Schizosaccharomyces pombe: one gene and its partners. Changing the gene in region 1 together with any one later gene gives a genetic interaction. Each region holds a gene or a part of one and is shown in the gene's direction. Other genes may lie near its edges.

What was found.
Region 2: mutations in atg16 (region 1) and rem1 together harm fitness less than expected from each alone (positive genetic interaction), as found in Schizosaccharomyces pombe (one large-scale study listed by BioGRID).
Region 3: mutations in atg16 (region 1) and ckb2 together harm fitness more than expected from each alone (negative genetic interaction), as found in Schizosaccharomyces pombe (one large-scale study listed by BioGRID).

The regions. Positions count from the first base shown.
Region 1 is NC_003423.3:3,146,466-3,150,257, forward strand, and holds atg16 (protein Atg16), read left to right. Parts: upstream 1-2,086; 5' UTR 2,087-2,286; coding exon 2,287-2,718; 3' UTR 2,719-3,191; downstream 3,192-3,792. Other genes in the region: SPOM_SPBC405.03C (transporter), read right to left, coding at 1-190; GTPase Ypt7, read right to left, coding at 1,013-1,225, 1,288-1,611, 1,685-1,765. UniProt on the Schizosaccharomyces pombe protein: Stabilizes the atg5-atg12 conjugate and mediates the formation of the 350 kDa complex, which is necessary for autophagy.
Region 2 is NC_003423.3:1,952,870-1,956,710, reverse strand, and holds rem1 (meiosis specific cyclin Rem1), read left to right. Parts: upstream 1-1,998; coding exon 1,999-2,460; exon of another isoform or gene 2,461-2,545; coding exon 2,546-3,292; downstream 3,293-3,841. Other genes in the region: phosphatidylserine decarboxylase Psd1, read right to left, coding at 1-1,002. UniProt on the Schizosaccharomyces pombe protein: Required for pre-meiotic DNA synthesis and S phase progression. Regulates levels of meiotic intragenic recombination.
Region 3 is NC_003423.3:2,577,106-2,581,815, reverse strand, and holds ckb2 (CK2 family regulatory subunit protein), read left to right. Parts: upstream 1-1,677; 5' UTR 1,678-2,734; coding exon 2,735-3,499; 3' UTR 3,500-4,025; downstream 4,026-4,710. Other genes in the region: SPOM_SPBC2G5.01 (Ca(2+) binding protein), read right to left, coding at 4,071-4,710. UniProt on the Schizosaccharomyces pombe protein: Regulatory subunit of casein kinase II/CK2.

The DNA.
Region 1 (3,792 bases):
CACTGAAATACCATGGAATTAAGTAGAAGACAAATGTACCCGTGTTGATATAAGTGATTAAGAAAGGACTAAAAAAGTTATCATCGTCTAATAGGCTGCTTGTGAGAAAAGAACTGATGAGCCATAAAAAGACGACAAACAATAAAAGAACAACGCCTAGTGCATGTTTCCCAATAGCCTGAAGCACCATTTTTTTCTATAAAATTTATAAATAATGATATAATTAATAAGAAAGGAAAACAAGTAAGATAAATTATGGATAGACTGTAAATTGCATTTATAAAGTGAACTGGAAGAAACTAAAAAAAATACTTCTCATCAAATCATTCACAAAAATAAATAATTATAAAATTAGGTCCATTTAAGAAGCTTTTCTAGTAAATCGAGTAATCTCACCTTAAAGTAGTAATGGTGGTAGGGAGGATGAATCTATAACAAACTTATATAAGCTGTACGCAATTTCAGTTTCTCTTACGTTTTCAAACTATACGATGATTAAAGCGCCAAATTGGGATTTTTTGCTTTGTTTATTTTGTTCAAGCCAAAGAACCATTCTTAATTGCTAAATTCCAAGTTATGGATTTTAATTGACTAAATACAACCACATCTTCTGATGCCACTAACTTTGAATATTCTTTTCAACCATATTTCTACAAATGTTTTTAATGTTAAAAGGTTGATATAAATAGAATTCATTTTGCTAGATCAAGCTAGTTTCAGATAAATAATAGAGCATCAATGAAAGCTAACGGCATAAGCAAAAATAACATAAAAGGCAGACACGTCGTACCAGAGGTGCACGGACTTAGTTAATCATTTTGCGAATAAAAGGCCGATCTAAATACTTTAACGGTTTCTATGCTCTCAACACTTAAATGAAGAGCAACATAAATGGGAAGAAAATGGAAATAAGAGAAAAGGCAAAGACTATCATAAGACACCAATCATGCAAATAAGAAAAAACCCATACAAAGAAATGTCCTTAATTAAGTAGCTTTAAGAAGAATAGGGTTTAACAGTAACATGAAGTTTTTTGACTCTCCATATCTAAATGAATAGGATCTGTAAAGTCTGCCGCAATATCGTCAGAATCCATGTTCTCCAGAGCTAACTTAGCCACTGTTTCGAATGCTTCTTGAACATTGATAGCTTCTTTAGCACTTGTCTCGAAATAGGGAATTTCTCCTCTAGCTTGGCAAAAGGCCAATGCTTTTGATTTTGAAACCTGAAATTATTAGCAAGAAATTCTCAGCTTTGTATTAAAAATTCAATACTTTAGACACATACCATCCTCTTTTGTTCTTCCACGTCGACCTTGTTTCCAAGCAAGATAAAGGGAAATGTCTCTGGATTGCTCGGTGATGCTTGAATCAAAAATTCGTCGCGCCAGCTATCTAAAGTTTCAAAGGACTTGCTGTTATTAACATCATAAACGAGGACACAGCAATCTGCGCCTCGATAAAACGCAACCCCCAAACTCTGGAACCGCTCTTGACCAGCGGTATCCCAGAGCTGTAATGTAACGACTTTGTCATCGACCAGAACTTCTTTGGTAAGAAAATCCGCTCCTATGGTTGCTTTATAATCTTTGCTAAACTTTCGATTCACATACTAAACAGATTTGGTCAATAACTTTCATTTCAAACATGACAGTCATAACATTAACATATTTCAAAAAACATACCTGATTCATGATAGAAGTCTTTCCAACACCGCTTTCTCCTAAAATAATAACTTTCAGCAAATGCTTCTTTTTGCCGGCCATATTTACAGCGTAAAAACGAGATAATTCGATATATTATTGAAGGCCAATAGTCCTAATTGAACCAAGAATCCTTTTGAGATCTGCAAAAAAAAATAAATTTATAAATTACTTCTTTCTTTGAAACGGAAATAGTTGCGCACGTTCCCTTGGTGTTTGCTCTGCGAGTATCAAGGCTTGTGAGTCTACCCTTCATATGCCTTTCACGTCATGAGTATAACGAACTTCATCATGCTTGGGTATTTTGATCAAAAGAAATATGGTAAACTTCACTATTTAAATAATTACTACATAGGCAATCCGATGTATACTGACAACTTTCTTATATGCTTGTCGAAAACAGTAATGATTTATTAATACATTGGTAGGAATCTAAGTTTTTATTTAAATTTTATTTTTTCAAGATTTAGTAGTCAATTTTTCCAGTTCTTTCATCTCGTCTCGTATTGAGTAAGTTGCTACCATATTTTGTTTGTGTTGTCTTCAAGAGAATATCACGCAGTCTCCTATCTAACTGGTGTTAAATGGAGTTAATTAAAAAAATACAAGATAGGGATGCTGCTGAGAAAGCGTATTACGATGTCATAGAACCATATTCAGAACTTTTGGAATTCAGTTTTCACAAAGAGTTTGTGAGTGAAGAGAAAGTCACCCAAAGGACTGCGTCAAGCGATTCTCTGAACACCATTGCTAGTGAGAATAATGACGAGAACGTAATAAACCTAGAAGAATTTCGGCAATTGAAAAGGAATTGTGATTTATATCAAAGGAATTTGCAAAAGCTGCAGCTGCTGTTCAAACAGCAATCCCAAAAAAACACACTCTTAGAAAAACAGCTTTCACTACAAACTGAGTTGAATCAGGAGAAAGATAAGCGGGTTAAAATACTCCAAGATGAGCTGTGGGCTTTACAACTTGAGGTAGCTGCTTTAGAGAGGAAATCTCCTAATGCCTAAAATTATCCGGGATTCAATTTTTTGTCGACAGATTATTTTAGTTATACTGTTAAATTTAGAAAACGTCGATTCGCGCTAGGTTCACTAATTATGATTTTACGAAATGTTTGTTATGCTTATGGATTAATATTAAATATTTTCTAGATGATTTCAAGTTAAAAAGGATACTTAAAAGCATAATGAGAGGTCTTCGCTTGTACTCGTCGTTCCAATTTTAGAAGTTACAAGCATAGACTATCTCTTCAGTGGTTGACCGCACATTTTTATGTCAATGGATATGTCCTTTGTATAATGAGGAAACATAAGCATTCAATTACTTGTATGAAGATTTTTCGGCATTAATATCTTCATGAATATCATTTTCTACATGGTCAAAATAGTAAATTTGATTATCTCAATTCAAGTAGCTTATGTTCCCCTTTTTATTTCCTTATCGGTAACGCCTACGAGTAATTGAATTTTCAATCTGTATTATTATTTAAGCGATGTCTTGTTATAAGTATTGGTTGAAAAAATATTATGCATTTCTTTAATACATTTGATTTTCGTCACTTGTATGCTTCTAATGAGATTGGTTCATGAATGACAACGGTTCAACAAAAGTATAATCTAGTTCTTACTGAGTAATCAAAACGAAGAATTATCCGGCGAAACAAAATATGTCTGCCCAAAGCTTTAAGTTGAATTTAATAATAGTTGCATAATTCTTTAAACTTTAGTATTTAGATAGTTCAGAAATATTGTATTGCTTGCAAGATTGAATATAAAAGCTTGGGTATCTAAGCGTAATGAATGTTACTATTTCCATTACTCTGAGCGACAATATGGATAACTCAGTACTAGTTCATAGTCTTTTAAGGTATACACAAAGAAAATTAGAAGGATAGGAAATAGAATAAGAAATATAACTTGTTTTATACAGGGTTATACTCAAAGACAAATATTTGATGCAAGGGTTTAATTTTAAAGACTACGATATACCTACAATACACTCTTTTTCCCTACTGCTATTTGGCATTCAATCAAATAAAGTGCTGCTTGTTAGAGCAGTAAGCAAAGAATACATTTATCATT
Region 2 (3,841 bases), 1.2 Mb from region 1:
CCCGTATTTGTATCTCCCCATCAAAGCTACTCTTTCGTTCAAGATGAAAAGATTTCCGAGTCGACGAGCCATAAAAGGAGAAACGCTAAACAGCTCTCCGGAAAAATGCCTTCTTCGTTCTACGACCCAATCAGTCGGCGAATGAAATCGATGGTAATCACCTGGTGCCAAGTAAATAACTGCGTAGTATAAACAATTCGTTTCTCTTGATCCGAACAACGTAAACTGTGATTTGGCTGCCACTTTTGTTGAGCTTAACAAATCAATATGTTGTGCGCTAGCATCTTTGACATGGCTTGGTCGTTCACCATGATCATGACCCATTAAATCTTGTAAACTGTAATGTATACCATTTAACTTGGCAAACTCCTCTTGACGAATGTGAGGGATATGATCGGGAGAGGGAATAGCATGGCTGCGCTTCAAACGAGCTAACTTCTCATCGCCCAATAGTGCATCAAGGGAATAGGTTATACCTTTTACTTGTTCAAGCTGACCTCCTTCAATAACACCATAATTCAAGATTTTCCCATCCGCAGGAATAACAATTGGGGCATCGGGATCAATTACGCGCGCTCCAGGTTTCAACTTTCTGGTGAAAAACTCGGCCAGATTTTTGTATTGGCGGACATCATCGGGGTCAGCTTCTGTCAAGTTGCAACCAAATATTTTAGAATAAAGGCCAAACGCTGGCACTCTCATCCATAGAGGAATCTCAATACGATTAACATATCCCCACCAACGCGAGAGAGTTCGTAATGGTAAAGTGGTAAGGACATAAAATTGCCATGGTCCCTCCACCTGAACGCCTTTCTTCTGATACGTTTTCTCGTGACGATCTTGAGCCCAAGCGAAGCCAGCTAATCCAACCAAGCCGATTCCTGTCAACCCATATGCTAAGCGGATGATTCCAACCCGTTTACGAGAGTTGTGTTTTCCCAAACTACTATACCTTGCAAATGCACCAAATTGAGGCTTCACATTACGATGAAATTTTAGCATGTTAGATTGTTTTTATGGAATTAAACTTTTGAATGGATTTCGGAGACCCGTTAACTTTTAAACTTCCATATGCTATTTCTTCGAATCCATGTGCTTCTCAAAGGATAGTGGTAGAAGTTAAGTCGTAGTAAACTTGGGATATCAAGTAAATATGGGAACTGTAATATGATTTAAAGTTGTTGAGTTTTCATTTTCTTTCTTTTTTTTTTTTTTAAGGAAATTAAATCAGATCCTTGACATTGTATCAGGCAATCCTACTTTGCGAAAATCGATCAAAATTAGAAGAAAGGAATATTCCTTATAGCATTGTATAAGTGCAGAAGAAACTTTCGAAGCAAGTTTGTAGAAAAATCTTAGAATAGGAGATTCTTTTCAATTACATTTCAATTTGTTTGATTATAATAACTTACGAGAAGGCGTAAATTAATTATTTTTTTTAAGCTTGTTTGATGGTTACCTAATAGAAAAAAAGCTTAATTGTAGCAAGATTTCTTATGTTCAGTTTTCAATGATTCGAAAACGGTAAAATAATGGAATGTTTACAACCGATGAGCGACTGTAAAAACTCATCAATACAAATAATAAAAGAGTTTTTGATCAAAATCCTTGCTTTACTTTGATAACGTTTCGATCAACACAAAAACCTATTTCATGAATTCGGGCATTGTTTGGAATTTTTAAGCAGCATGAATTCTGATATAGTAGAGGTAAAGTTTAGTTTTGGGTTGTGTTTTACTTTAAGGTTACGACCGTTGGTATATGTATATGGGAAATAAACAAACATTTTCACCATCAACTTTTTGTTGACTCACTGTAAACAAACAGAACCTGCTAATAGCATACTGCCATTTTACAACAAAAAGTTCAAGAAAACGGTTTGATTTGATTCCCAATCATTAAAGAGTAAAAGCAATTGTATTGACTGATACTTGCCTACCTAAGAGCTTGGTTGAAACAATTAAAGCGACCGTTTCAGCAACGAGAACCAATTCAAACATGAACTCTAACAACAAAAGAGTTGCGCTTCAAGAAATAAGCAATTATGTTTCCAAATCATTGAACGTAAAAGGCTGGGTGAACGCACAGGTACGAGAAATATCCCTTCAAAATGGGTGTAGCCCATCAGATAAACATTTTCCGTCACAGAGCTGGCATGGAATTAGTTCAATTGAAGAGTCGCAAATACAAAAGGACTATGATAGTTTTTTAGCGTCACCTTTAGAGGAAGAGATAGTCTTTACGGAGAAACAGCTTTTGGTAGATTTGGATGTTTGCTCGATCAGTAACGTTCAAAGTCCTAATTGCAGTGTTTCGGAATTTGGCATAGCGATTGAAGAATCAAATGACAATTGTGCAGAGGAGGATGAAGAGGAGGAATTACAGATGAGATATTCAGCAGATGAATCGGTGTCTGTGGAATACGCAAAAGAAATCCTATCGCACATGGAGAAATTGGAGGTATGAAAAAAATGGGAAGAAAAGGGGGAAGGAAAACAAGAAGATGAAGGAGTTGAAGAAGTTTTTATTTATTAACATTTTTTAGATTCGATTTATGCCTGATTACCGACATATGTCGGCTCAACCATATTATGTTACAGAGATGAGGGCTAGTGTGATCAATTGGATTGTGGGGGTGCATACATGTATAAACCTGCTTCCAGAATCCTTATTCCTATCGATCAATGTATTGGATAGATTTCTATCTCTACAAAATGTGCCAGCATCGAAAATGAAACTTTGCGGCGCAACGGCGCTGTTTATTGCTTGCAAGTATGAAGAGATCCATCCTCCTACAGTGAAAGATTTGGAAATAGTGTTGGAGGGAGAATGGATAGGAGAAGATATTTGCGGAATGGAAAAGTATATGCTTATGGTTCTTCAATATCAACTTGGGTGGCCGGGGCCAGTATCGTTTTTGAGGCTATTGACGATTGTCAACAAATGGGAGTCGCAGCTGCGAATAATGATAAAATATTTTCTTGAAGTATCGCTAGTGGAACAAAGATTTTCAAGTCTAAGGGCGAGTCAATTGGTAGCGACATGCGCCTACACCGGCCAATCTATATTGCAAGAGGAAAACTGGAGCAATACGTTGCCTCAAATTACGGGATATGATTATATGAGTTTAGTTTCGTATGTGCATCTACTGTTGAAATGTCTAGAAAATCCGTTTGATCACCACTATGCGATCTATTCAAAGTATGCAACACCGTATTTCCATGGGATTAGTCGACAAGTGCATGACTGGATTGCGACAAATACGAACTTGATGGCGATGGATGGTAGTTGAGGGGGGGGGGGAAGAGAAAAAGGAGGGAAAAGAGAGAGAAGAAGAAGTAAGATGTAGGAAATTTAATGAAAGATAGATATGAAGAGGATGAGAGAGAGAGAGAGAGAGAGAGAGAGAGAGGGAAGTGTAGGAAAATAGAGAAAAAAGAAGAGTAGTAGTAAAAGTAGAAGAGTAAGAGTAGGAGAAAAAAAATTACACGAGAGAGTAAAGACTGGGGTTATAGAAGTGAAAAGGGAGACGAACGACTTGATATGGACTTTTGTGAAAGAAGCTCGAATTAAGGTGTATCGCTAAGTAAGAAGGTTTGTAAAAAGCGAGGGAGGGTGGGACGGAATAGAGAAGCGAAGGGTCAAGTTGATGTCGAGAGGTTGGTAGTGCGGTAGATGTCGCTAATAAAGGTTTGTGAGAAGGAGAAGAGGAATCGCTACCAAGTACCTTTTATTAAAGGAGTGCCTTAGAATACAGTAAAAGAAAATAAAAGATGAACAAGACAAGGAAAGAAAAGTACCTAAATTGAACAAGAAAAAAAGAATAAAAAGCAAAATTAAA
Region 3 (4,710 bases), 570 kb from region 1:
TAGCTTATTGGGAAGATTGATAGGGTAAACCCCCATTCATAGTCAAATATATTAGATGATACAGTAAACGGAGATAGAATTTCTAGAAAATCATCTTTTTATAAGCCTTAATATGAACATAAATGCAGAAAAACTCCAAGTTAGCAATTCGTAAATATTTAAACTACTGAGAAGTATAACAATAACAATAATAATAATAATAAACAGTGCAATGATGGTTGAACAGGATATACGCCCTGGAGTTTTCGTGTAAGTAAACATTCATGAATCTTTGGATACTTAGTGTTAAGTTCAATTCACTACATCATCTAAAAATAACAAACTATCCTATTAGAAATTTGTTAATGATGATAAAGCGAACGTATACAATTCTTGTATAAAACAAAAAATTTCAACTTAATAAAATAAAGACTTTTTGAAGTAGCGAGTTGTTATATTATATATTAAACGGTAACAAACACAAATTGATTATTTCAATTATTGATTTTGCTGATGATATAAGCAGTGGCATCAAGCTCCTTCTCCCAAAATATTTGTTTGTGAATCAAATCTTCGAGAAACTCCTAGTTAAAACAAATGTAAAAAGTAAAATGATAAATGTACAAATAATAAAAACTTATAAATGGGGTTGTATGAAACATTGTCATCTCTTGCTTGTGAAATTGTTGTTGGCGCTGCTTTTTTAATATTCTGAGAAATTAATTTTGCTCTCAAAATTGCTTATTTAATATTGGCTATCATAAATAATTTTATTATTTATTTATTTTATTTTTTATTTTTTTTACATATTTGTTGTCTGTATACCCATGCTCAATTGTGTCAAATACCCTAATAGGTGCGATTTTTGATGAACAATTGAAGACTTTGTTTTATTTCCCACTATAGAAAATTAACACCCGGTAGTTTTGAAGGCTTTACTTATTTTAGCGACTGTGTGCTCTAATTAATTACAAGCTCGATTCGTGAAAACTTCCTTTTTGCCACGCAGACTTTTAATTCCGAAATTTACACAGCCGAGAAGCTGCCTACAGTAAACGAAGTAATAATAAATGGGCATTGCTAAAGAATTTTGATGTTTTTGAGAAGTCGCATTCTACAATTTAAATTTTGGTAGAAAATATATTACAGAAAACAGTACCAAGTCAGCTAACTTTTAAGCCGTAACGCGTATTCCCTTTGGTGTTTGTGGTCTGCTAGTTTCTTAATCCAGCATTCAAAAACAAGGTAATTTAAGGTCTAGAAACATTATTTGTGACTTACAGATCCGACATTTAAAATGGCAAAACAGTATCTCGACTAGTTGGTTAAACAAATTTTAGCCTCAAGAATGTAGGACCCTTCTTATAATTTTGTTAAAGGAAAAATTCAAAAAACATTCATGTTGTCGTGATAGTGTATTCCATGAATAAAAATCACGATTATTTACAGAAAAAAAAAATATTGACATTGTATTTTAACTATACAGTTATTTAATAATATAATTGTAGCCAACCGTAGTAATTGGTGTTATACTTTCACTCCTGCTGATCCTATTTTCCTCGAATTTTCCTAGTGGACGATGATATATTGTGCTTTAAGAACCGCAACGAACTCGTAATTTTAGTTTTACTTTCGGTAGTTTGAAATTCCTTATTCTAATCATATATAATGCATTCTCCCTTGCGGGCAAGCAAGTTCACAACTTTTCGGGTACCTCTGACCCTTGTACAGTCTGTGAATAGCAGTCATTTGCTATTCAAAACGAATATTGTTAGAACAAGAGCTGAATTTCCTCTTTTCATAGACTAGAAGAAGTTTACTTTAACCGGTAGGTAGAGAAATTTTTCCCCTTTGAATTGTCTTTCGTTCTGAGTCATTATCATTGTGAAATAAGACCGATTTTAGAAACAATTATTTTCGTTTTCTTCTTTAATTCTTCGTTTTTCACTCGTTCCTTAAAAACCACTTTGGTGTGAGGAACTTCAATTATTTAGATTGCCTTTAGCTTAAAGCAGGTTTATGGTCTCATTGAATATTCTAGTATTCTATACTATTGTTGATTTGTTGAGAAGTACGGACTTGTTTCGATTCCGAAATCTACATCCGTAATTCGAGATTTCTAACCAAGCCTGTTGTTCGGAATCCGTTATAGCTGTTGGTTTGAAACCATTCCAAAAAACAACACATTCTATTTTCTGAATTTCCTTTATTCATACTCTAGAGATTCTGTTAATTAAAAACTGATATACTCCTAGTTGTTTTATTATCGTTTCGTTTTTTCTGATACGATAATTTAACGGCTATCCTTTTTGATTATCCAAGAGCATCAAAACAGAGGCTTTGCATCCTTTTGTTTGTTCTGTTTTTTTTTTTTTTTTGCTCTTATATTTTTGCAACCGAACTTCAAGGGTTACAAATTTTAACCTGAAGAAGGATTTTCTATTTTGCATCTTCAATCGTTTAATCGGCTGACCTATTTATTCTAAATTCCTTACAAAAATCCTTTTTACCTTGAATGTCACACCTTTAAATATTGAAAAGATTACGGAGTTGTTTTTATTATTATTATTATTATTATCATCATTTTCGTTGTTAATTTTAATCTTTTCCTTCGATATTCTGTTTTTGGCTTTTTTATTTTACCTTTACTTACCTACGCCTATTTTATCCTATTTCACTTAATTTCCCTGTTTCAGGAGGTTTTTTTATTCGAAAATTATTTCAAAGAGTGCGTCTATCCTTTAATCCTTCCACAATGTCGCGAAAAAACCTCATAAAACTTAATCATGATCCTACTGTCACTTACAGTACCAAAGATGATGCTGATGAATTATTTGATGATCTCTCTTCTTCTCCTCTTCATGAAAATGTTAGTTGGATATCTTGGTTCTGCTCAAGACCAGGTCGTGAATACTTTGTCGAGGTGAAGGAAGATTTTATCGAAGATCTTTTCAATTTAACCGGTCTTAATTTGGCTGTCCCTTTCTATAATGAGGCTTTGGACCTAATTCTCGATCGGACAGCTCCTGACACATTGGAGAATTTTGATATGGACGTAATTGAAACGAGTGCTCAAATATTGTATGGTTTGATCCATCAACGTTATATTATTACCCGGACAGGATTACATCAAATGGCGGAAAAATACAGCATGGGTATTTTTGGTTGCTGTCCTCGTGTAAATTGCTGCTATACTCATGTTTTGCCTGCAGGACTTTCTGATATAGTTGGAAAAATGCCTGTAATGTTATTTTGCCCTAATTGTCTTGATTTGTACGCTCCTTCTAGTTCTCGATACAAAAACATAGATGGCTCTTTTTTTGGTGCTACTTTTCCTCATCTGTTTTTTGAAAGCTATCCTGAACTGAATCCTAAGCGCTCAATCCCTTGTGGTAAAATTTATCAGCCTAGAATTTATGGCTTTAAAGTCAGCGAATTAAGTAAAACAGGACCTCGAATGCAATGGCTTCGTATGTACTTGGAAGATAGTGGTAGCGATTCGGAGTCTGAAAGTGATTAAAAACGATGCTTCATCTTATTTATGCCATAACCTAATGGTTCGTTCCTCTAAGCCTTAATAATACTTTTATTCCTATAAAATATCCTTGAAGTTTCTTTTCCGTCAAATTCAATTATCTAGTTGATGTCTCATTGCTTTGCATATAAGAAAAAACAGAATTTGGTATTTTTTAATATAATGTCCGCGAGGCATTTGAATTAGTAAATTCACACTAAAGAGCTTGATGAACTTCCAAAGGATTTAATATTGGTTACCTTTAAAAGTTGGGTAAAAAAAAGTTCCTTATTTCTTGTTGATTGATAATATACTTTGTTCATCAATTGAAGTAGCAGACTAATCATACATGTAAATTAATACAAGACCAAAAAATAAGGGTGCGCAAGTGTAACCAAAGGTGTGCTTCCTCAATGAATCCGATAATTCTTAACCATTGCATACATACCTTACAACTTAAATACATTTAATTGACAATAATGAAAAAAATTAAATAAAAAAACAAACAAACAAAACTGCTTTTGTATTAGAGAGAAAAATAGATGTTAAGAGAAATCGAAGTTTAGCTAAATACATTTTACATCTTCTTTGCGCGTCTTCTCATTTTGCGTTGACGTTCCCTCTCCATGCGCTTTTTTTGATCAGACTCAGAAAGCTTAGAAATATCGCCAGAGGATTTAACTTTTTTCTTGGCGGCCTTAGCGGCTGAAGCATGAACAACTTGCTCAAAGGCGAGTTTACGGGCAGAGGTAAGTTTCTTCGAAACTTCTGGTCGCCATTGGAATTTTGGACAACTATCAGCTACCAGCAACAAGGAATTAAACAATGCACTTCCCGTAGCATTGCTCAAACCAGAAAGGGATGTGATTTTTTTAATTCTGATTGAAGCTTCGATACGAGGCTTCGTAACATAATCCTTTTCGGTAGCAGGAGGGACTGAAGGTTGATCAGTAACGATGAAATACTCAAGGTTTTCAATACACTCGTTAATTGAAGACATAAACTCGGGAATTTCGAAAATAGCTTGACTACACTCATTGTTCTCAGACATTAAAACATGAGTTTCCGGTAAGTAAGGAGAGGAAGAAATGCGGGTAAAGCTTAAGTCGTAACGTATTTCACGAAGAATGCGCATACAGTCTTTATGAACAATGGCGAAAACAAAACGCTCAGCCTTCAAGTTCTGGTCTGCAAGAGTTAAATCGAATTGAAAACGG